3 linked regions of the Arabidopsis thaliana genome follow. The protein of the gene in region 1 interacts with the protein of each later gene in a pairwise test. Each region holds a gene or a part of one and is shown in the gene's direction. Other genes may lie near its edges. The genes, in order: HUB1, UBC1 and AHG1.

Region 1 (8,303 bases):
CCAAATATTGATTTTATGGCAGCTGTGTTGATGACTCTGGAAACTGGGGACGTGGTGGAATGTTTGATGCTCTGTCAAAACTGTCTAATACTGTACCCACTGCTTATCACCGAGCATCCGAGTTTAAAGACCTTCATCTTGGAGACCTGCATCTCATAAAAATTGATGGTCTGCAACTTTTTTTTTTTCTATCTTCCTTTCATTTTCTAACAACATCAAAGAGTTCTCATGTATTTTGTGTTGTGTAGACAATGATGACCAACAAAACACACAAGCAAGCAAGCCTCTTTGGGTGGCAGTTGCAGTTACACAATCTTACAATTCGAGGCGTAAAGTCCCACGTAGTAGCATTTCAATTCCAGACCTTGAAAGTTGCTTAGCCAAAGCTTCATTCTCTGCTTCTCAGAAATCAGGTACGAACTTAATTACTTTCTTTCTTTAAAGTTTCATCATATTTGGAATTATAAACAAAAGTGCTCCCAAAGAGCTTAACACTTGTGTTGTCATTTCTGGTATGGTAATGTTCTCTCCTCAAAAAGCCTCACTCCACATGCCACGTATTGGTTACCAAGACGGATCAGACCGATCTCAATGGTACACTGTTGAGCGTCTTCTTCGAAAATACTCCTCCATCTTCACCGTCAAAATATTCGTGTAAGTTTATATGTGTCGCCCGTCTTCTTTCTTTTGAATAATCCAAAGCAAACTCATTTTTGTTGCTTTCTTGTAGGTACTATTATCGTCGATCTCCCTGAATCACACAATGGGATAGTCTTTTTGACGCTGTAATATAATTTGCTTTTGGTTGTACATGTAACGGTGTCGTTTGTATGTAGAAGGAAGACTTGTAATTGGGCCCAGTAGTGGCCCATATTAATGTATAATTAAATAATAGCCTAATCTTATAATTCAATCTTGATCACTGAGCCAATTTACACGTGTTGCGTCTCTAGTGCCTCTGGTTCCACGTTGGTCGTCAAAATTGAAATCGCGTTTCTATTTTCTTCACGAGGTTTCTTTTCCCCGCGGCTTAGGACAATATGATCCGAATCGTTGAAGAAACTGTCTCCTTGTGTCTATGTTTCGTTTTGATCCCACATTCCTAAAGCTCCAGGTACCTTTTCTACGTTTCCCGAATTCTGATTAGTTGATTCTTCTTCCTCAATCCGTTCTTCCCAAACTTGTTGCCGATTTTTGGATCCGGTCATCAACTTTGTTGTTTATTTGTCATCAATGCAAAAATTGAGAGCGTCTGTGTTTTCACTTGCATGTTATCAATTCCTAATGTTGTTTGCCGTTTCATTAACCGGATTCGAGACTCTTCCCGCTGGATTTCTTTTTTTCACGTCTTCTTTTCTATTTTTTATGGATTTGGTATTTTGACATGTTAAGCAACCTTCGTTAATCAGTTTAAAATCGGTGCTTTCCGAAATTTTTAGAAGAAACATGGAAGCTTAAAATTTTGAAATTGCTATTTGGAAAAGCTATCATTTCATAGGCTTAGTCTTTGTAATTCTTCTTTACTTGTTGTTCATTGGCATGAATATATGAAGGATTTTATATTTGATTGTGTGTTTGTTTATGTTGTTAGAAATTGATCAAAATGGGAGAAGCTGGTCAATCCAGAGACGGAGAATCTGTCACGCCTCTTGTTGTAAGTATTGTGGCTTCCTTTTCTCACTTTTTAGATAATACTTTCAGAAACTATACTTGCTTTATGCTCTCATCTTAATGGAATTCTGTTTGGAGTCAACTTAACGTTCTCTTGGTTTCTATATCAACGGAAACATATAAGTTGATTAAAATGGGGTTAAAGAGGATATTCGTAATTTTTGGTTCTTTATGCATTGAGACTACCATTCTAATATCAGTAATTTTTCCATGGCCAGGGCGGTGGTAATGGGGACAATGCGGTTGCACCACAAGTGTTTAATTCTTTACCAGCTCTTAATGAAGCTGCTTCTTATATAACTCAAGCAACGTCTTACTTAGGGAGCTGTTTTTCTGACTATTCAGGTACCCTTTCTTTCTATCTGTTGATGTCGTACTCAGTATGCAATTCCACGTTCATATGCTAGGCTTTACTTATGGAAAATATGCTTAGCAGATATTTATGGTGTTAGGATCTTATCGTCACCGTAACATAATTCAGGCTTTGCTTAGCATCTGTTCTTTCAATGCTTTCTTCAGTAGAATATGGTGGCAAGGATACTATTTCCCACCCCCATGAGTTGTTACGATCAACTTCCGGAGTTGACGGGAATTCCCCAGTGAGTGTATGCATTTCGCCTGGTGAAAGGTTTTCAACTTCTTCAGAGGCATCTACATCTGATGCCAACAGCCCGTCGAGGGAATCTACAGAGATTCTGCCACAGGCAACAAATGCAATAGTGACTTCGAATCGGTTAAATTTAAATGGAATTTCAATGTTCCAAGGGTACGTGTACTTTGTATTACAGATACAAATTCCCCATACTAGTAGATATGTAAAATCTTAATACTATGAATATGTGAAACTGAAGCAATACAATAATCTCTATACACTACTACTTCTTGTCAAGTTTTCAGCATTTGGGTGATTGATCTATTTTAATTCAATCAGGCTCATTGAGCGGGCACGGAGGACTGTTCGTGGCTCGGCAGATGACATAGGATGGTTACAGCGTGCCCCGGAGATGCCTCCTGTTGAAGATGGAACTGATAGGTTCAATAAAATTCTGGAAGACATCGGGTATGAATTGGTTGTAGTTGCATGTTTTGTGTGCTTTGTGGCCTTTTCAATATGCTGTTTAACATCCTGTTTTTTACTAAATGGCTGCGTTGATCTGGTTTTTATATCCAGGCATGGTGTACACAGGCTTCCAAATACAGTGGTGTACTTATTGGTTCCAGGTAGCAATTCTTATTCTTTGCTGCCAGCCACTTAAACTACATTACTGTATATTAGGACTCTCAAAATTAGTTGAATTTTTTTTAGGTCTTTTCAGCAATCATGGACCTCTATATTTTGTGGATACGAAAACGAAATTCTCAAAGATGGGTTTGGCGTGTCATATTGCGAAGATTCACAGCGAGGTAATCATAACTAACTCAACTTAGTACAGTTACATTTGGTGTATAGCATACTAATATATGGAGAAATGTTTATATATCAGTCCTCGGTTGAGAAAAATGCGAGAGAGATAAAGGAATACATAGAGGAACTCTGTTGGGGATCTAATAAGCGGGTTCTACTTCTTGGGCATAGCAAAGGAGGCATAGATGCAGCTGCTGCTTTATCACTATACTGGCCTGAACTAAAGGATAAGGTCGCTGGGTTGGTACTGGCGCAGAGTCCATATGGTGGAAGCCCAATAGCTACAGATATCCTCCGTGAAGGACAACTAGGTGATTACGTCAATTTGAGAAAGATGATGGAGATTCTAATCTCCAAAGTCATAAAGGTTTGCAACATTCCTGATCTAACAAAGTCATTTCAGTTGCATTATATCAGCTTCTTGTGATTGCCTGTTAAAATCCTTAGTTAGGTGGAACCGAGAAACTAGGGATAAACCAAAACTTATTTTGTTTCTGGATTCTATTGCTCTGCTGATCTTTCTGATGAATTCCTTGGAACATTGTGAAGGGTGACATTCAAGCATTGGAAGATTTAACATACGAGAGAAGAAAAGAATTCTTGAAGAATCATCCGCTTCCCCGAGAACTCCCCACGGTTTCATTCCGCACAGAAGCTAGCATTAGCCCAGCGGTTCTATCCACTTTATCACACGTAGCACACGCTGAACTTCCTCTGACAAACCAAGCCGCAAAACTGCCAGTGGTAATGCCACTTGGTGCTGCAATGGCTGCTTGCGCTCAGCTACTTCAAGTCAGATACGGTGAAAAGAGTGACGGGCTAGTGACTTGCTGTGACGCAGAGGTTCCTGGTTCTGTGGTTGTTAGACCCAAACGTAAACTAGACCATGCCTGGATGGTGTACTCTTCCTTGAACGAGGTTCCTTTAGAAGCTGATGCTGCTCAAGTTTGTGAAGCGCTCTTAACTTTGCTTGTCCAAGTTGAGCAAGAGAGGCAACAAAAACTCGCAACAAAAATCGATTGATAAACCAAATTGTTTTATTTCTACTTTCGTCTTGAGACTTCAAATTACTGTATTTGTTTCTATCTTTTTGTTTTATTTCTTACTAATTTACTATCAGGTTTGAATCACACGATAACAAAAAAATTATTACAAACGGTAGATTTTATATTTATAAGACTACTTAATTTGCTTCTTTTTTTTTCTTTTATTGTTGATTAATTTTTATTAGAAGATTAGTTATGTTTTTCTCTCTATTCCTTTAACGAACCGTGATCGTGCGGCTCGGATCGTTGGAGATTCTATGGACGGCCGATGCTTATATACTGTAAGTGGAATATGTAATTCCCGAAAGTGCCCTCCAGATGTTCACAAAATTACGCCATCGTACTCGAATTAACTTCAACTCTCTCTTCTCTCTCTCTTTCTTTTCACTCTTGTTTTTGTTTCTGTGAGTGCTGTGTGTGTTCTCGGTTTGTAATATCTAAGTCGCACAAAGATCAGACAAAGTCTGTTTGCGTTTGATAGCATTAGAGTCTGATCGAATTTGGAAGACCTGTGAGATTAGGGTTTCTTTTTGTTTGTTTTTTTTTATTCCGAAGGAGAGCTGCGGAGCAATTGGAATTACCTCGGTTAAAGCAATCACGTAGCTTTGGATCGTTTAGGGTTTTCTCATTGGGTTTGGGGGATTTGTATTCGAGCTTCCTCAAACTCAATCTGATGGTGATGTGAGACAAGGCTTAATCCTGTTAATTGGCGATTCTAGGGTTTTTCAATGGCGAGCACAGGCGAGCCTGACCGTAAAAGGCGTCACTTTAGCTCCATATCACCTTCTGAAGCTGCAGCCGCCGTAAAGAAACAGCCTTTCTTTTGGCCCTCCTCCGAGGACAAGGTTTCTTTCTTCTTCATCTCCCCCTTGTGCATGCCCTTTACATCTATTCTCTTACTTATCCAATCAATCATAGCTTTCCAGCTATTAGAGATTCATATACTGAATGTCTTTTGTCTCGAATTTGGTCTATTTTGGAATTGGGATTCTCTCTCTTAAGGAGTTTGTTTTCGTTTGATACAGCTTGATACTGCAGTTCTTCAGTTCCAAAATCTTAAGCTATCACAAAAGCTAGAGGCTCAGCAGGTTGAGTGTTCTATTCTTGAGGATAAACTCTCTCAGATCAAGGAAAAACAATTACCATACAACTCCAGTTTGAAGACTGTCCATAAGTCTTGGGAAAAGGTAACACTGAATTTGCTTTCGATTCTAATAGAACTTGGATTAGATCTCTTTTTCTAGAGAACTAATTAATGCTTGTATAGCAGCTTACAGCTTCAGTGGAATCATGCTCTGTTCGTGTGAGTGATTCAAGCAGCGGAGCTCATAGGTTTGTAAACAAGGAGGGTATGAACAACTTAAGCCCGCCTTTTCTTCGTTCTGTTAGTGCTAGGATCTAGTTTAGATTTGGTTTTATATGTTACAAATATGACTTTTTGAAAGGTTAACTTTAAATTGCTACACAGATGGGTCTTCTCCAGCCGTGAAAAACGATTTCATCAACCGGCTACTTGAAACTGGTGCTACTGAGAGCTCCTCATCCAATATCTGCTCGAATCAGATGGAAGAAAATGGAGTGAATACGTCAAGCCAGATGACGCAAACCTTGTATAATCTAGTAGCCGCGACAGAGGATTTGAGGTGTCTGAAGGATGAATTATATCCCACAGTTCTCAGAACCAATCTTGGTAAAGGTATGACTTCCACTGCGATCAATTGTCAGCTCTTGTTATGGCCTTTATAACATTTTAGTATTAACCCAGGTCCTATGTGGAATTGCTTTCTTTTCTAGATTTGTGCGGTCAGCTAGCTCTGAGTGAGTTGGAATCAGAAATTAAAAGTTTCAGAGGGGATCTAGATGATGTACTTGTGAAGTTCAAATCACTTTCTAGAGAATTGCAGAGTCATCGCGATGCTGATGCTAAAGTTAGAGTAGACCTCAAACGAATAAGAGGTAGCTACTTAGTCTCGTCTCACTCGACTATATACTGTTAAAATGGATTTTTTAATTGGCATTGTTTATATGGATATAGTATTCATGCATCAAATGTAAATTTGTAATCATATACGTGGCTTGACAAAAAAAGGTCCTATATACATGAAAAGCTACTGAAATCATATCTCGCTTTTGATTGATGAGGATAAGTGTAAGTAGAGGTGATCAAATTGTGAATCTTCCAATTCCACGCCTGTGTATTTATGTCCAGCACTACTCAGTTGTTTAATAGCCATGATTGGATTTAGATCATAGAGATTAAGATTGAAGAGAGAGATACATTAAGACTGGAAGAAAACCTCTATGGTAGAGCCAGCTGTTAAGAAGACATGTAGCTGTGGAAGATATACTCATTAGCGAACTGATGGGTGTACAAAACCCTTCTGAGACATGAACTTCTTAGTTTTCTTTTATACCATTTACCCATATTTATATATTTCGGTAGATTTTAGGAGATAGAGAAGCTGGTAATTCTTTGAGAATGACATACATCCACATAAGTGAAGCATCTTAATTTTGTTGATAAATTACCCGTTTACCTTAAGATGTAAGATTTCAATACTGACAGTAGCCACAGTTAAGAAATTCAAAGAGTTAAAATTTATTTTAGTTTACATGCCTGCTTTTGGATTAATGCTTCTTGACTACCGCATCAACTGATATTATACTTTATTTGGTCTATTCGAAGGGGAGCTAGAGGATGAGGTTGTGGAGCTTCAGCAGTGTAATGGTGACTTGTCAGCATTGAGAGCAGAAAGGGATGCAACAGCTGGGGCGTTTTTCCCAGTGTTGAGTCTTGGAAATAAGCTTGCTACCAGTGATCGGGAGAGGGATAAACAAAGGGATCTGCAAGACATGGAAACAGTTCTGAAAGAGTTAACGGTATCTTTGTTTTTCTGATTTGTTTTCATTGGTAATTCTTTAAGTTTTGGGTTGATAACGGCCTGGTTTCGGTAGGTCCTGGCTTCAGGCAGGCTACAACAGCTAAAAAATCTTCATGAGGAGAGGACAAAGATGCTTGGAAAAATGAGTAATTTACAGGTCAGTGTATTGATCCAATTGGGGTATTTGTATTAGTTTGTCTCTGTATGGGGTTTGATATATGAAAATTTGTGGAATGGTAGCCTCTTCCTATTGCTAAAACTGATGTAAGAGTTTTCTAACAGAACAAGTCAAAGTCTGTGAGGTGCATCTCATCTTCTCAAGCCTGCCTTTCTTTGAAAGACCAGCTAGAAAAATCCAAAGAAGCAGTTTTCCAGTATATGGCTTTACTTGAGAAACTGCAGGTTATATCTGGTTTGCGATTTTCATTTTGTATCTATGTTTATAAAATTTACGTTGTATATTTAGTTGTGAAGCTTTCCTCCATTCGAAAATTTCAGGTTGAAAAAGATAGTATAGTCTGGAAGGAAAGGGAGATAAATATAAAAAATGAACTAGGTGATGTTTCTCGAAAGACGTCTGCTGTTACTGATTCTAGAATGGCTTCTTTGGATTCGGAGATACAGAAACAACTGGATGAAAAAATGCGAATCAAGACTAGGCTGGGAAATATATCAAGAGAGCGAGGTCACAAATTGATTACTTTGACTTCCAATTCTGTATCTCCCACCCACACCTGTTTCACTTTGGAGTCTGATTAAGTTATTCGTATGTCAGGTAGAAAAGAAATCTTTGCAGATATGAAGGCATTAATTTCTTCGTTCCCCGAGGAAATGAGTTCCATGCGTAGTCAATTAAACAATTATAAAGAGACTGCTGGAGGTATTCATTCTCTGCGGGCTGATGTCCAGTCCCTCTCTGGGGTTCTATGTAGGAAGGTGGGAAATAATGTGAACAGTGATTGATGCTTATTGTTACAGTTTATGTTATGCTTACTTAATAAGCTTAATTGGTGAACAGACAAAAGAGTATGAAGCATTGCAATTGAGATCAGCTGATTATGCTTCTCAGTTAGGTGACCTGAATGCTACGGTATGATGCAATGTATCTACCTTTTTCAGTGTACTGCCCATGACTTATATATGTTGACAGTGTTCATATTGGTTATTGTTACTTTGCATTATTTCTTGGAAAAAGTATAGTGAAAAGGCGGATTAGCAATTTAAATCTTGTTAAATGTCTTTGGTTGGCAAAGTGGTAGTTGTTATGTTCTTTACTTTCAATTGATTGGAGTCTGTCAT
Region 2 (8,303 bases), on another chromosome or scaffold:
ACAAGGAGAGAGCTTACTCAGGTGAGAAGTGGTCGTAAAACGCACAAAAGCAGCGGAAAATGCCTAGCTTATAACCCGATAGACAACTGCTGGCGATGCGATCGTAACTGGGCTAATAACCGGAAGAAACTAGCCGACTGTGTGCTCGGATTCGGCCGGAGAACCACCGGAGGAAAAGACGGACCGATATACGTCGTCAAAGACGCGTCTGACAACGATCTTATCAACCCTAAACCAGGAACGTTAAGGCATGCAGTGACTCGAGACGGACCGCTTTGGATCATATTCGCAAGAAGCATGATCATAAAACTGCAACAAGAACTGATGATAACGAGCGACAAAACAATCGATGGAAGAGGAGCTAGGGTTTACATCATGGAAGGTGCTGGATTAACGTTGCAATTTGTGAATAATGTGATCATTCACAATATTTATGTCAAGCACATTGTTCCTGGGAACGGTGGGTTGATCAGAGACTCTGAGGCTCACATAGGGCTTAGGACAAAAAGTGATGGTGATGGAATCAGTTTGTTTGGAGCAACCAATATTTGGATCGACCATGTCTCAATGACAAGATGTGCAGATGGTATGATCGATGCTATTGACGGCTCCACTGCTGTAACTATTTCCAACAGTCATTTCACCGACCACCAAGAGGTAAAAAGATTCCTTTGTTTTCGCTCATGTGAAGTTGCATATGAAACAATCAAGACCTCTAATTTAGAGTCTTGTTTTAAATTTTGTGAGAGAACAGGTGATGTTGTTTGGGGCGAGGGACGAACACGTGATCGACAAGAAAATGCAGATAACGGTTGCGTTTAACCACTTCGGTAAGCGATTGGAACAGAGAATGCCTCGTTGCAGATACGGAACGATACATGTGGTGAACAATGACTACACACATTGGGAAATGTATGCAATTGGTGGGAACATGAACCCTACAATTATTAGTCAAGGCAATCGTTTCATTGCTCCTCCTAATGAAGAAGCCAAACAGATTACAAAAAGAGAGTACACACCATACGGTGAATGGAAATCTTGGAATTGGCAATCAGAAGGAGATTACTTTCTCAACGGAGCTTATTTTGTGCAATCCGGAAAAGCAAATGCGTGGAGCTCTAAACCGAAAACCCCGCTCCCAAACAAGTTTACAATTCGACCTAAACCGGGAACGATGGTCCGGAAACTTACCATGGATGCAGGAGTACTTGGCTGCAAACTTGGTGAAGCTTGCTGATTACATAACCATTTTGCCCCCTTCCAACAAACAGCCAAAGCTTTTGCCCTGTTTTTGCTTGTTGTTCAAGAAAAACAATATGGAGAGAGAGGAGAGAAAACGAAAGAGAATGTTTTTCTATGAATGGTGTTTTGTAACTAAGACTGCATATATAATGCGCAGTTTTCGGATTATTATTCTTAATAGGATCCAGGTTCCTTTTTCTACGGAAAAATGAGAAAATCAAAATACCTTAGATCTTTATACTAATTATACAATCTCCTCGTAATACTTTCATCAATTAGCTCTCTTATCTTGTCTCGAATGTTATTAGCTATATGGACCAAAACAATATCTTGAAGAGTTGCAAAATTTGACCAACAAACTGTTGATGGAAGAAGCAAATATTACAATATGCATTGACAATAATCAAATTACTGAATAGAGACCAAACTTGGGAAATAACAGAGAACAAATCCAGTAGATATGGATTTATTCCAGAAAGCATAATCATATGAATTGGTTTCGAAGTCAAGTGTCAACAGTGTTCTTGTTGAGACAGCATAGCCAAGTCCAATTGTATATAGATCTATGGAACATATTTTGTCTCATGTCTTATCACTTGGTCGGGCCAATCGTTGGTCCTAAAATCGAAAACTTCGCATGTAGTAGCGTTTTCTAGACCTATTAATGCAGAGGTACATAGACAAACGACCTTGTATGTGCCTGCAGATGTATATAGACAAGTTTCAGTTCAATAAAAGTTTCTCTTTCGTTCTTTTGTCTTCTCTAAGGAGAAGAGATATTATCTCTTACTCTGTTTCTTCTTTCTCTCAATATTCCAACAAAATTTATAAAATTTGGGTCTATTTGTAATTTTTGAAGAAATAAAGCTGTAGAAACGAATTAACGAAAAGTTATCACTTTCTTTGTCTCGTCATCTCTCTCGAGTCTCGAGTCTCTGAGTGTGTAAAGGAAGCGCCTTTTTCTCTCCTCCATCGTAATTCGCAGAGAAGACACACTACATTGACTGAGAGGGAACAAACACAAAGCGATGTCGCAACTCTTATCGACTCCTCTAATGGCGGTCAACTCCAATCCTCGCTTTCTCTCTTCGTCTTCAGTACTCGTCACCGGAGGTTTTGCAGTGAAACGGCATGGATTCGCCTTGAAACCGACGACGAAGACGGTGAAGCTCTTCTCGGTTAAGTCTCGCCAGACGGATTACTTCGAGAAGCAGAGGTTCGGTGACTCTTCTTCTTCTCCTTCACCTGGTAAGCCATCTCACTTGGTTACTTTAGGGTTTTAGCTTGCTTAATTAAGAAATTGGAAGCTTAAAAACACAAAAGGGTACTCTTAATTACGAGAAATTTGTAACCTTGAAGCTTGAAATCCAAAAAGAGAACTCTTTTTATATCTATAGATGGAGCTCGTAGGTGATGTTTACTTGTGTTCTTTGTTTCGATTTGATAGCTGAAGGATTGCCTGCTAGATTTTACGTGGGTCATTCGATATACAAAGGGAAAGCTGCGTTAACAGTGGACCCAAGAGCACCAGAGTTTGTGGCTTTAGACGTAAGTCTCTATCCCAAAATTAAAGATCAAAGAGCTCTAACTGAATAATCATGCTTTGAGTTTTCCATTTGATTTCTGTTGTTTTTCTGCAGTCTGGAGCTTTCAAGTTGTCAAAAGATGGTTTCTTATTGCTCCAGTTTGCTCCTTCTGCTGGTGTACGACAATATGATTGGAGCAAGAAACAGGTTTGGTTTTATCTCTTTAACTTCAGATGATCCTTGAGCTGTAACTTTGTTAAGACCATTTGACTGGATTTGGTGTTAAAAGGCAGTCTTTTTTCTATTATGAATTTGGTAAAGCTTCATGTCAAAATTGCAGGTGTTCTCATTGTCTGTTACAGAAATTGGAACTCTAGTTAGCCTAGGCCCGAGGGAATCTTGTGAATTCTTCCATGATCCATTCAAGGGGAAAAGGTAAAAAGCATCATTACACTGATAATATTGGTTGTATTCTTATTATATTGCTCCTGATCGGTTTGTTTGTTGTATGTAGTGATGAGGGAAAAGTAAGGAAAGTGTTGAAAGTTGAGCCTCTCCCAGATGGTTCTGGTCATTTCTTCAACCTAAGTAAGTAAATTTAATCTTCTTCTTGATTCTTGTCAAAAAGGATAGTCTCTAACGATCTCCGTGTATATATTAGGTGTTCAAAACAAGCTTGTGAATGTGGATGAGAGCATTTACATACCAATTACTCGAGCAGAGTTTGCTGTTCTTATCTCTGCATTCAATGTAAGATCAGAAAATATCTCATCTTTAACATTACCGGCATGAACTTTCAAAGAAACATTACTAAACTCCTTTTTTTCTTCTATATTGCAAGTTTGTCTTGCCTTACCTTATAGGCTGGCATGCATTTGCAAACTCCATCAAACCAGAAGAGACAAGCCGTGTGAACAACGCTTCGCCTAACTATGGAGGAGACTATGAATGGAATAGATGATGAATCTTAGGGCCATAACAGGAACATATATCAGAGATCATCCTACCCTTTTTGTTTTGCTGATAGGTTTCGTCAGGATTGATATATGTTCGTAGGTAGCAGAAGAGACTAAAAGTAGTTTATTTTTTCGTCCTTTTGACCAAATGTTCAAAAGCCACATATCATTTCGTGGTAAGCGGTTGTATCTCAAAACATCAGTCTGATCTTAGTTGTTTTTGATTTAAGAGCAAATCTCAATTTGAAGTCTGAGTACGAGCTAGTATGATCCAAATGCCTAGGCTTTGAGACGAGGCTTGAAGATGAATTGGTTTGTCTAGAGAGATTGGAGAAACAAGACATACCACAAAAACATTTCTCTCTAGTAACAAAAACATCACTCTACTCTACTCTTGTGGTTTGGGTCTGGATTTTAGTCCGGTTAGTGGTACAATGGTTTATATTGGTTTATTAGAAATATATAGTTTACGCTACATTAAGAAAAGTACTCTAATTTGTCATCTGAAGATTTACATAAAAAAGATTACATGTCATCGTTGTATGTTAACTAACACTAATCTCCCGGTTAAAGTGTAGATTGCCCTAAACGGTTTAATTCCGGTTAGGAACAAACCAACCACTCGCTCGGTCGTCCAAAGGGCAAAGCGAATCCAACTTTACAGATATGTCAGAGAGGAGCCAAGCTTCTAGAAGATCATTCATTCATCACTTATACGATCTCTTCCCAAATTATTGATTTTTTTTACCCATTTCTCTCATCGCACGGTGATATTGAGAATCGCCGACCTGAATCGATCGGAAAACTTTCTCTGATTACCGGCGGTCAACACCGCTGAACACATATGTTTGTTTGACGACCTCTTCTCTCCGCGATCTTTACCTCAACAACGAGATCTGTTTCCACGGTACCATTTTCATCCGATCTCTGTTCTTCTATGTTTGTTTACTGGATCCGTTGATTTTACTTTCATCTTATCATTTGTGTGTGGCTATTTTGGTGAATTGATGCGATCTTAAGCTGTTTCTAGGTTCAAGCCTTATATGTTTCTTCTAAGCTAATCATAGGTCGTAGACTTGTTAGGAAGATTCGAATCTAGTACAAAGTTAGCAACTTTAGCATACGTAAATCGTTAGTAGTAATTTCTAGATTGATAGAGGTTCGAGACCTTAAAAGGTGATGAATATTTGGTGGGTTTTGTTTATTAGAAAGAAAGGAGGATGTCGACGCCAGCAAGGAAGAGGTTAATGAGGGATTTCAAGAGGTTGCAGCAAGACCCACCTGCGGGTATTAGTGGTGCTCCACAGGACAACAACATTATGCTCTGGAATGCTGTCATATTTGGGTAATGGGAACAAGTACCTTTAGATACTGGCTAAATATTTCTGAAACTTTTGTCATTTCTGTACTTACTTAGACCTTTTTGTTTCTAAATTTGTAGGCCTGATGACACACCATGGGATGGAGGTATGGTTATGATATGTTATTGCATTTTGACAAGAAGCATAAATTTTTGGGATCGTTGTAGTGGTGTTCTTATGTCTCTTTCTTGATGCTGTTCAGGTACTTTCAAACTCTCACTGCAGTTCTCTGAAGATTATCCCAATAAACCACCAACAGTTCGGTTTGTGTCACGGATGTTTCATCCTAATAGTAAGTTATAGAGATACAACATTGGATTTTCTATCCACCTGGTTGATGTTCAGCTTTTGCCTCCAATTAACGTTCTTCTGCTCTATTCGTTGTGTAGTTTATGCAGATGGGAGTATCTGCTTGGACATTCTACAAAACCAGTGGAGTCCAATCTATGATGTTGCTGCTATACTTACCTCCATCCAGGTGAATTCAAAATGCCATATGAACATCTCTTGATGCCCTTAAAAGCTTGAATTGCTTTCTTCTTCTCTAATCCGTTTTTCCCTTTGTTATTGCAGTCCTTGCTCTGTGACCCTAATCCGAATTCTCCTGCAAACTCGGAAGCTGCTCGGATGTACAGCGAAAGCAAGCGCGAGTACAACAGGAGAGTGCGTGATGTTGTTGAGCAAAGCTGGACTGCTGACTAGTAGTAGTTTGTTGTAAGCGTTGTAGCTCTCTCTACTTTCTCTCAATCACGATTCAGCAACAGCTTTCTTCTCTTTTCATTCATGTCTTGTGTTTCCAAAACTATTTAAGTGATTCCATGCTTTGATGTAACCCAACATCCTTAAAAAAACAACTTTGTACCAAACCATCTGAATTATTCACTTTTGTGTATATATGTATTACGATTTACTTGCTAGCTACAAAAAACAACTTTGTACCCAAATTCCACAAAGTTGCGATATTTTATTTAAGGGTTTGTGGCCTTATCCTTCTGTTACACCCTTTCATTGCCTTAACAATTGCATTGCTTTCTTTGTGACGCTAATCCAATTTCTACACCAAAATCTGAAGCTTCACATGAGACTCGTAAGTACCTTAAGTATTAGTAGGTTCAACTTTATGTATTCTCATATAGGCCTTGAATTTGACATTGATCAGTTTCTCTATGTTCTTCAAGGATGGTGATTTTATATTTCTCTTCTATAGTTCTGAACCACCAAGCCCGAGGTTCTCACTGCTTGTCCATCCTTGTTGCACTTGAATTGTGTACTGCAGATTCCATACAACATCCTCTATCGATGGCCGCTTCCTCTGATCTTCACAAAGACAGTTAATGGCAAACTCTACTGTGGTTCTCAATGACTCGTATGCATATGTTCCTCTCACACACGGATCTGCCAAGCTACGCAACACCGATGGTTCGTCTCTCAAACTGTTCTCCAGCTGAAGCTTCAAGCTCCCCAACTCTGAAGATGCAGCTGCTATTACTTTGCCTGTGATGATCTGAATTAGTATCACTCCAAACTGGTACACATCTTCTTTCTCTCCATCTTCATTACTAGGGCTCTCCGCTCCAACCTGAAATTCCCCCAGAAGGTTATATATTTCATGAGAGGTTAAACTGAAGATTAGAAGCTATATCCTGATTATATTATATCTGGTTTGTTTATATACCTTGGATGGTAAAGGAATACTATAACCACTGAGTTTTACAGTGAGTGTTTCATCAAGTAAAACATTCTCTATTTCCAAATTGTTCCCAAATATTCCTGGTGCCACTCCTGTGTGCAAGAACTGTATTCCTCGAGCAACTCCAATCGCTATCGACATTCTCTGAGGCCATTTCAACACCTCTTTCTTTCTCCAATCTGCCAAAAACATTTCCAAATAATTAGTTTCCCAACAAAAATATAAGTTCTTGAAATCGATAATCTTTTTCAAGTATTACCGGTGAGGTAATCCCTCAAAGACCCGTTAGAGATATATTCTTGGACAATGAAAATAGTGCTTCCGGCATAAGGATGATGATCTTGATAAGTACCAATGCAGTGTCCAAGAACACTGACCAAATGCATATGCCTTAGCTTTGATAAAACTTCCATTTGTTGAGCTAAATTCTGTGTTGAATTCTTCTGTTTCAGCTTAATACACCTCACTGTCACTGCTATGCCTTCTCTAAGACAACCTTTGTACAGCTGTTTTGAAATTAGATATATCGATTAGTTAGACACTCGGATCAATTTTAAATCATGTCTTATTTACATTTTCCTTTACCTGTTCTCCACAGAGATTCTCTGCATCAAAATTGTTGGTTGCTTCTTCCAGTTCCTCCAAAGAGAAAACTCGGTATGGTGATAGTCCAATCACCGCGGATCTCATGGTTTGCGGTACACGTCCTGCATTTGAAAAAATCAAGCTAGTTAGGTTAATGGGTGTGAAAACTTGATTCAAGATTTCAAAGTAATAGCCTACTTAGATCTGGTACTGTCTTTGATGTGGTGGACCTGGTGGTGTTGCTGCAAACAGTGACCTGATCGACGTTGTTTGCTTCCAAAGGCTCTTCTTTTGATCTTGATTTTCTCATCCTAACCAAAACCAAGCCAGCTAAAACCGCTGAAACGAGGATCACACCGATGATAATGCCAATCACCAATCCAAGTTCGATTCCTGTATCTTCTTCTTTCCTTTCTTTATCTTTAGTGTCAGACTTCACAGCAGCTACTGCTTGCTTTGCTTCGTTTTCACAGAAGGTAACTGGACGCTGATACTTTGCAGAAGGAGAACCATTTATAGACAAGCAATTGAATGTGAAGAGCAGTACTGTCTGTTTCTTGGAAGAGAAGCAAGATGGAAGCTTCCCAGTCAGAAGATTCCGAGAAACATCTAAAATTCTAAGCTTGGAGTTGCACAACGATGAATTTGGAAGTGATCCACTCAGCAAGTTTTGTGCTAAACTTAGATTCTGAAGCGAAGGAAGCGAAAGCAGGAATCTTGGGATTGAGCCAGTGAACTTGTTGGAGGAAAGATCTAAGCTCTGAAGCTTATTCAGCTTCTTGATCTGTTCTGGAATCTTTGATCCAAAAGAGTTGTTCTTCAATGAAATAGTAATCAAGTTACTTGCAAGTGAAGGAACAACTTCAGGACCGAGTTTATTACCGCCTAAATTCAGCTCTTGAAGATTCGACAATCCTCTGAGATCAGGAACACTTCCGTTAAA
Region 3 (8,303 bases), on another chromosome or scaffold:
ATGTTTTCAAATTTTAGTAACAAATAAAATGATTTCTTAAACATATGTTATTTGCTACTATCTTTCTAATTAAAATCGTTTCCTATAAAACATTTTTTTTGTCAACTTCGTTTCCTATATATGTGAGATTTCAAATTAGTTCCCTTACGTATACATATTTTAACTAAATTCCCACCAACTATTTTAAGTAGCATGGAAATATTGTCACGAAATTATACTACTTAATTAATATCTAGATTTTTGTACTAACTTAGCCTTTACAAAAAAAAAAAAAAAAAAAAATCTTAGCGTACGAGTAAAACAACCTATAGTTTATTGTATGCCGTACATGTTCCATTTCAAGTTGTCCTTTCAAGATATGGACTCTCAGGAATAAGAAAGTCGGTTACATTTCAATACCATGAATCAAAACTGTGTACTTACCAGTAGTTTAAGAGAACATGCCAAAACATTTTATTTTATTTAAATTGCAGAGTAGATATATAATACTTACAAATTAAAATACCGGCCAGACCAGTTTTAAAAATTTTGTAAAATCAAAAGTTTAAATTTGATATCTAATACGGTTTGAAACGATAAGTTTTAGAGCTAGATCGATATACTTTGACATGAAATTGGTTTACCAAAGTTTCAGGTTGTTTTGAGAAACGACAAATATCTCAATTTATATACTTGTCCTAGAAACAAAATTCCATAGAACAAATATTACAAAAAAAAATAGTAAGTCGATCGTGAAGATGAGAATAAAGCAAAGGGAGCTTCGAGTAGCTTCTATTTTGGAAAATCCAAAACAGAAACAAGGAGATGTGTGATGCAAAAGCGGCAAGTTATTGGAATAAGGCTTGTGATCTCTTGCCCCTTGGTTTCCATTTAGGTCTTGGACGGTGGGTTTGCAGCTTAGAAAGCTCCCATACGACCACGTGGATTACATGTTTTTAAGATAAGTTTCTCATTTCCCCACCACAATTTACTTATTTTCTTTATGAAATTGTTGATACTATCCGAAATGAGTGAACATAAAAATCACGATTTATCAAGAAAAATAGAAATTTATTTAGCTTCTGTAAATATAGACTAATACAAAACTATAATTGTTGGCAATGTTCCGTGCTCAGAGTTATATTAAGAAGAATAAATTTATGTTTTTAAACATTGTAAACATTGGCAATTTACAGTTTAGTTATTAGTTAATTAGTTTGTAAACATTGTTTTCGGAGAACAAAATGTTGGTAAACTTTAAAACATTTGTTTATGTTTAAATTTGGATGGGTTAGTTGGTATAAGTACTACCGTATTATAGCAATCGTCTTTTGGGAACCAATTATCTTGTGCTAACAAAAACATATAATCAATCCTTTTCTAATCACTGTGCCAAAATTTAATTAGTAAACATTTGGAATGATTTATGTTCAATTGAAACATTCGCGTTATAAATTTATTTATGATCTTTCTATATTATTTTTAAATCTAATTCTAAAAATAATATTTTTAAATGTTTTGTAAACTGTTAATTATTTAACTAAATATTACAACGAGTCAACTAAAATGACATAAAACTACATAACTCTACATTTGGAGATTCGTTTCTCGGCTACAAATGGCAAAATATTAGGTGACATCAGTTGAGTTCTCCGTACTTACCCGGTCAACAAAAATCTTCTATTAGTCTGGAAATTTTTTTTTTTTTTATATTAAAACAACTCTTCTTTCAATAATTTGATTCTATCTCATCAAAGTTGATGCTTTTCTTTTTGTTCGACTCAATTTTTCCTCACTTTCCTTTTTCATCAAAAATACCAATTTTCTTATTTTTCTTCGAAACATATATAGCCTAAAATCATTGACAATGTCATGAATATTTCCCTTGACTCCATGCCATGAAATGAAACCTATTTTCTTTGTTGTTCTCCGATTCTTTATAGTTTTCAGTCATATTTGGTGATCAAATTAACTGACTTTAGTGCCATAGAGTCTTCAGAAAAATTTATTGGTGTTTCCATGCATGCTTCTACACATTAGTTTCTTTTTGCAGGAGATTTGGACCCCACACAAAGTATTTTCACTACAAACACTATTCTTTCTCATTATTTTCCAACTTTTTCTGAATTGATCATAGGATTTTTGGTAAGCAACTTCCCTTCATATAGTAATTCTAACCACACGCAAAATTATTAAACCAAATTTCCGCAAGAAGATCATAAAAAACTGAATAAACAATTTAAACAAACATTGATGTACGAAGATAACATTTCTATCATATATGGTTTATATATAATAACCTACTAAAACAGCCAGGGATTGAAATTAAGCTCACTAGTTTTTATTTTCTTCACATAAAAAAAAAAACAAAATCACTATATCGGCAAGTTAAGTTTTCAATCATTAAAACCTAAAACTAACCACCCAACCCACCAATGATTAAAACTATATCCCAGTCCCAACTAATCACAAATTTAAGGTAAAGTGTGTTTGAATCATTTTTTAAGAATTTTAGACAAGCTTTTTCATTATTATCTTCCTTTTAGATAACTTACACATTTATATTAGCTTAATATTTTGTTTGTTTTAGTTTTTAGCTAAACCATATCATTCATGTAGAGAGAACCACCCTAACTGTTATGATCTATTCGACTCGTATTAATTCTCATCAATATAGCAAAATATTAGGATTGATCGATCCACATATTTCAGTTCACCCACTTTAATATATTTCAAAGACAGTTTGTAAACATTTATTACGGTTTTCGTAGATCTTGAGTATTTGAATAAATAATGATATGATTCTTTGTATCTTGTACAGTTGCTTATTTGAGTAGACATTAATTACAAATCAAATCTGTTAGCATAAAATATACATATATCGCCGTTTTTCTTCATTTGTAGGAAACCAAATAAAGAATAAAAGGCATATGGCACTGATGGACTAAACTGGCATAACTATGCTACGTGTTTAATTGGTACAAGTCGCTCAACCTGAGGAATCGAGAAGTTGTAGATGATCACTATGTGACATGTGTTGCACCGAAAAAGAGTGACTAGTGACGATTGACGATTCGTCAACCTTTTTCTCCGAAGATATCTCCAACGTTATGGTTAATCCCATGATTTGGTTTAAGTATACTTACCGTTCAGGTTTTATAGAAAATACTACTCGAGATTTGGAACGATCAGTAAATGTTATTCCAGATTTAATATAGTAGAAATTGTTTGTTTTCACTTTTCAAAAAGATGGTTTTCAAAATTTAATTCTTTTTAAAAATAAGAAAATTGATATAAACCTTTTCAATATTGTTACATTTATAGTCATTGTTTTGACATTAATGTTTTCATATTGAAAGCAAAAGGAAACAAGATGCAATATTTCGTATATCATGAGTTTTTCATTTTCTATAATATTTGATGAATTAGTCCAGAACCAGCCTGATCCTTGTAGTTCACATGGTTTGAGAGATCAGCTCCGGCTCATGGGTTCAAATTCAAGCAAGGAGAAGAAGAAAGGAGTTAAGACACAAGAGCCTAGCTAAACGACTATCGTCATGAACCCAAAACCGGATGCGGTTTAACAAAAACCGAAGGCGTCTCCACGTGGACAACAACTTAACACCTGAGCCTAACACGCGAATACATCGAAACACCGACACGTGTTCTGTCTTCCTCGTAAGCTTCTTTATGTTCAAAGTGTTCTCTCTTTCTCTCGGCCCCATGTATATAAAGCGGTGCTCTCTTGATCCACCGAAACGAATTTTGAAAAGATGACTGAAATCTACAGAACAATTTCAACCGGACGTGGAGACGACGTTTCTCCGACTAAATGCCGTGAACGTCGTCGTCGGAGAATTGAGATGCGGAGACAAGCGGCGGTTTTCGGCGAACCTAGTTCGTCTAGGAATCGTGATCGGACGGACATGGAAGTTTACTCAAGTTTTGACGTTCCATTGAGGAAACAAGCTCGGAGGTCAGAGATCGGTGGTCTTCCGGCGGATATCGGGGGCTTTTTGGCACCTCCGGCGGCATCTTCTTGCCAAAAATCGGAAGCGCCGGTGTGGAAGGGAGAAGAAACGGAGGATGAGCCGTTGTACGGTATAGTTTCGGTTATGGGAAGATCTCGTAAGATGGAGGATTCGGTTACTGTTAAACCGAATTTGTGCAAACCGGAAGTTAACCGGCAAAGACCGGTTCATTTCTTTGCGGTATACGATGGCCACGGCGGTTCTCAGGTAAGAAAATTAACCAGGGGTGGTTTGGTCATTTAATATAAAGATGCTGATGTGATGCGTGGACAGGTGTCAACATTGTGCAGCACGACTATGCACACGTTTGTCAAGGAGGAGCTAGAGCAAAACCTCGAAGAGGAGGAAGAAGGAAGCGAAAACGATGTCGTGGAGAGGAAATGGCGGGGCGTGATGAAACGGAGTTTCAAGAGGATGGATGAGATGGCAACGAGTACATGCGTGTGTGGGACTAGTGTGCCGTTGTGTAACTGTGATCCGAGGGAGGCTGCGATTTCGGGTTCAACGGCGGTCACTGCGGTTTTGACGCACGATCATATTATTGTAGCCAATACTGGTGACTCACGTGCGGTGTTGTGTCGAAATGGAATGGCTATTCCTCTGAGTAACGATCACAAGGTGGTGTTCTTGTAAAGGTTTGAGAATATTGGAGTTTCTATTTTGAAGTTGTTGAGTTTTTTGCAGCCGGATAGACCAGACGAGCGTGCGAGGATTGAAGCAGCTGGTGGTCGAGTTTTAGTAGTGGATGGAGCTAGAGTTGAAGGAATTCTAGCCACGTCCAGAGCCATAGGTATACCTTTCTCAATTCTCATATTGTAGTAAAAGATGATTTTAGTTGATAGTGTTGAAGATGGCAAGGAACTAGAGCCTATAAGGGCAATAATAATCATTTCGGATTTGGGGTTTAGGGTTTTAAGTTTACTAACTAAGGTACTATGGATTGGTTTCATTTGGTGCGAGTTCTTTTGTTGATTAATTCTAATTCTATTTTCAAAGATGTTTTATAATTGTTCCTTTAAAAAAAAAATATGTAAATTTTACTCTCTTTTTTTTGTCAAAATGTTAACTAGAAATTTTACATTGGTCCTAATAGTTTAACATTTGACAAAAAAAAAAAAAAACAAAAAAAATTATATTTGCAGCATTAACTAGAAAACAAAAATAATTGAATCATTTTACGAAAATAAAAAATGTGGGCATTCATACAAACCATCTCATGGATTAGAACGGGAGAAGTATTTTTCTTAACTTCAAAAGTATTTAAATGTGTCTTATCTTTGTATCTTTCATTGTTTGATCATTTAACCAACTTAAAATTTATTTCGGTTATACAATTTATTAGACTAAACATGAAGTTTTAGTATGGAAATTGTTCCTAATGTTGTGTTACAATTCATGGAGCAGGGGACAGGTATCTAAAACCAATGGTAGCATGGGAACCAGAAGTAACATTCATGAGAAGGGAATCTGGAGATGAATGCTTAGTATTAGCAAGCGATGGGCTTTGGGATGTACTCTCGAGTCAGCTAGCTTGTGACATAGCTAGGTTTTGTCTCCGCGAAGAAACTCCCTCGAGCCTTGATTTAAATAGAATGGCTCAAGAAGACGACAATGACGGAGAACAAAATCCTTCAAGGAGTGTATTGGCTGCAACGTTGCTAACGCGGTTGGCTTTGGGTAGACAAAGCAGTGATAATATAAGTGTGGTCGTCATTGATCTCAAGAATAGCTCTCAGTAAAACTAGTTTTGGATCCTTTTTTTGGTGGTTGTGCAATTAAGTGGTTAAACCAAAGAATAAGATGTTGATATAGCGATGAGCCTTAATTAGTTTTAGGGTTTAGCGCCCGTCTTTGTTTTGTTATGAATTGGGGTTACCAATACACATTAACACCGGCGAATGTGAAAGGAAAAGAGAGTTGTTTGGATATGGGCTACAAGGTTATTTAGTGGTTTGGCCATGGGCTATTAAGGGTATTTAGTGGTTTAAACAATAAAATAAAAGTTAACTTGAGAGAATTTGTTCTCTAATTTTGTTTGTTGTATGTGTGTGATCATTTTGAAGTTATTGATCGTTTAGCTATTTAGGTGGTATGTGTGAAATAAATAGATAAAATAAAAACGTAGTACTGCTTTGGTTTTGTTCGTTGTAGTTCATTAGACGCCGGTCTTGGTCTTTTATATTTTTTTGATGGACTGATCATTTCCAATGGTTAAAGTCATCTCTGTCTACAAATACTTACATTTTGGTACAACCTGAATGAAGTGAATTTAAGGCTGAGATTTTGAACCAGCCCTAACCCTACTCAACCGTGCAGTTTTATATTTGGTTCAACAATGCTATATAGGCTTTTGGGCCAATTACCAGATTGTCTTTACTCTTTAGGCTTTAAAGGAAAAAAAAAAGAGATGTGCAAAAGAATCAAAGAGAACAATTCAAGAAAGAGAGACAAAAAGACAACTCTTATAGTTCGATGGAAATGGAACAATTCGAACAGGTTTGACGAATACAGAGTTTTGGTCCTAAATAAAAGGGAGATCAAGAATCAAGAATTGTCTTTGAAGTAAAACAAAAAGCGTGAGATGGAGAATGTTCTCATGAATAATTCTTACATTACTTTTTGTTCTTTTCTTTTTGGGTCATTATCGTCTCAGTGTTTGTGTCGCACTTTTCTTTGAATCATAATTGTGTTTGTGGGCCTTTTAGCTTCTCTCTACGTCTTGTTTAGTTTCAAGTTTGGACCACAAAAGAGAGTGAGAATCAAGAATCTTTTTTTTTTTCTCCACTTTTTTCTTTTGTGTATATATTCTTTGTATTTTGTTTAAACTACCAAACCAGAAAATCTACTACATTTCCCTCCCTTTCTTAACCTTCTTCTAATAAATTTTTACTAAATCAGAAAAGTTTCTTTTGCCACAAATTTTAAATGAATTTGAAGACTTGGGAATTTATCTTTACCCTCTATTTTTGTTTATTATTATTAATGGACTCGGATGCTGGATATTAGTAAGTGCCTTTGCTTAAATGTCAATCTAAATTAACAACTAAAGTTATAAATTGTCAAAAGAAAATCTAACCAATCTCTTTTGTGGTCTAATTCCCTACCTAACGTGATATAGTTAAACCAACACATTCAGGCTAGATATTCTAACTTTCTAAGGGTGTAATCTAATACCAAAATCTAATTCTTCCCATGTAGTTCTTCTCTCATCTCCCACACACTTTGATACTTTACCTCTTGATTTGTGATTTTAGATAGATACTCTCACATTTTCCTTTTAAATTTGTTAGATGTTTTGAACAAAGTGTATGCAATCCAAATAATCCCCAAAACCATATGTTTGTGTTCACTCACTAGTCACTACATTCTTTAACCGAACCAAAATTTTCGCAGGTTTGTCAGTCCTATAATGCATTTCTTTTTTTAAAAAATACTCTTCATTTGATCAAATTCTATAAAAGTTTAGCATAACACATCATTGTTTAGCTATTTAATAAGAAAACTCCAAATTAATATTCTTAATAACTTCTATCCTAATGACCCATGTGAAATTATACTCTTTAATTATACGCTCTCATAATCTCATTACATAGCATATCAATAATACATAAATCACTAAACTATAGTATGTTGATAAGTGATAACAAAACTGTCAAACTTTAATTATAGTCTTTGCGTGATGTAATAAAAAAAAAATCATTAAATGTCTGTCAAAAAATTAAAAAAGTCATTAAATGTATGAAAAGTCATTAACTACTGTGTGTGACCACAACAATCTTGTAACAGCTCATCTTCAAAGTGTAATAATAACATAACACAATTTTTTATTTTCACTTCAGAGGTTTTTTTTTTTCCTATGCCGTCACGAACACTCCCGTCGCCGGCACCGGTAAATTCACCGTTCTCTTCCTCCGTCACACCTCACCATGAAACAACCACCACACGCATCTTCCCTCCTCTTGCAGCTGTAGGTTTCTCTCTCTTCATAACTCTCTCCATCTGTTTCTGCAAATTCAACCGCAAACGCCGATCTCCCGCCGCCGTAGCCTCCTCCTCTACACCGCCGCAGAAACAACCGTTACACGAGTTCTCCTACTCATCTCTCCGTAAAGCCACCGCTTCTTTCTCACCGGAGAATCGACTAGGTCAAGGCGGATTCGGCTCTGTATTCCGTGGAACTTTATCTCCTTCCTCCGGTGGTGGTAATGTCGCCGTTAAAGTAATGGATTCAGGTTCTCTTCAAGGAGAAAGAGAGTTTCAAAACGAGCTTTTCTTCGCTGGTAAGCTTGATTC

Evidence for each region.
Region 2: the proteins of HUB1 (region 1) and UBC1 interact in a two-hybrid assay, tested with the Arabidopsis thaliana proteins (one study listed by BioGRID).
Region 3: the proteins of HUB1 (region 1) and AHG1 interact in binary tests that used the Arabidopsis thaliana proteins (3 or more experiments, as listed by UniProt).

What each region holds. Positions count from the first base shown.
Region 1 is NC_003071.7:18,544,795-18,553,097, reverse strand, and holds the start of HUB1 (histone mono-ubiquitination 1), read left to right. Parts: upstream 1-4,445; 5' UTR 4,446-4,850; coding exon 4,851-4,967; intron 4,968-5,147; coding exon 5,148-5,309; intron 5,310-5,392; coding exon 5,393-5,471; intron 5,472-5,590; coding exon 5,591-5,818; intron 5,819-5,916; coding exon 5,917-6,078; intron 6,079-6,808; coding exon 6,809-7,002; intron 7,003-7,077; coding exon 7,078-7,161; intron 7,162-7,286; coding exon 7,287-7,406; intron 7,407-7,502; coding exon 7,503-7,689; intron 7,690-7,779; coding exon 7,780-7,940; intron 7,941-8,022; coding exon 8,023-8,094; intron 8,095-8,303. Other genes in the region: ASG3 (SNF2 domain-containing protein / helicase domain-containing protein), read left to right, coding at 23-168, 249-413, 540-654, 731-755; AT2G44970 (alpha/beta-Hydrolases superfamily protein), read left to right, coding at 1,079-1,114, 1,592-1,654, 1,890-2,016, 2,191-2,437, 2,603-2,731, 2,843-2,892, 2,978-3,075, 3,156-3,443 and 1 more. UniProt on the Arabidopsis thaliana protein: E3 ubiquitin-protein ligase that monoubiquitinates H2B to form H2BK143ub1. H2BK143ub1 gives a specific tag for epigenetic transcriptional activation and is also prerequisite for H3K4me and maybe H3K79me.
Region 2 is NC_003070.9:4,924,778-4,933,080, reverse strand, and holds UBC1 (ubiquitin carrier protein 1), read left to right. Parts: upstream 1-4,268; 5' UTR 4,269-4,631; intron 4,632-4,932; 5' UTR 4,933-4,944; coding exon 4,945-5,069; intron 5,070-5,165; coding exon 5,166-5,191; intron 5,192-5,287; coding exon 5,288-5,377; intron 5,378-5,474; coding exon 5,475-5,563; intron 5,564-5,658; coding exon 5,659-5,787; 3' UTR 5,788-6,286; downstream 6,287-8,303. Other genes in the region: AT59 (Pectate lyase family protein), read left to right, coding at 1-657, 755-1,237; WHY1 (ssDNA-binding transcriptional regulator), read left to right, coding at 2,271-2,490, 2,690-2,790, 2,883-2,975, 3,109-3,203, 3,283-3,356, 3,430-3,518, 3,610-3,729; AT1G14390 (Leucine-rich repeat protein kinase family protein), read right to left, coding at 6,287-6,664, 6,761-6,954, 7,035-7,281, 7,361-7,482, 7,559-8,303. UniProt on the Arabidopsis thaliana protein: Accepts the ubiquitin from the E1 complex and catalyzes its covalent attachment to other proteins.
Region 3 is NC_003076.8:21,023,164-21,031,466, forward strand, and holds AHG1 (Protein phosphatase 2C family protein), read left to right. Parts: upstream 1-3,711; 5' UTR 3,712-3,752; coding exon 3,753-4,217; intron 4,218-4,283; coding exon 4,284-4,628; intron 4,629-4,694; coding exon 4,695-4,800; intron 4,801-5,414; coding exon 5,415-5,749; 3' UTR 5,750-6,025; downstream 6,026-8,303. Other genes in the region: AT5G51770 (Protein kinase superfamily protein), read left to right, coding at 7,867-8,303. UniProt on the Arabidopsis thaliana protein: Negative regulator of abscisic acid (ABA) responses during seed germination.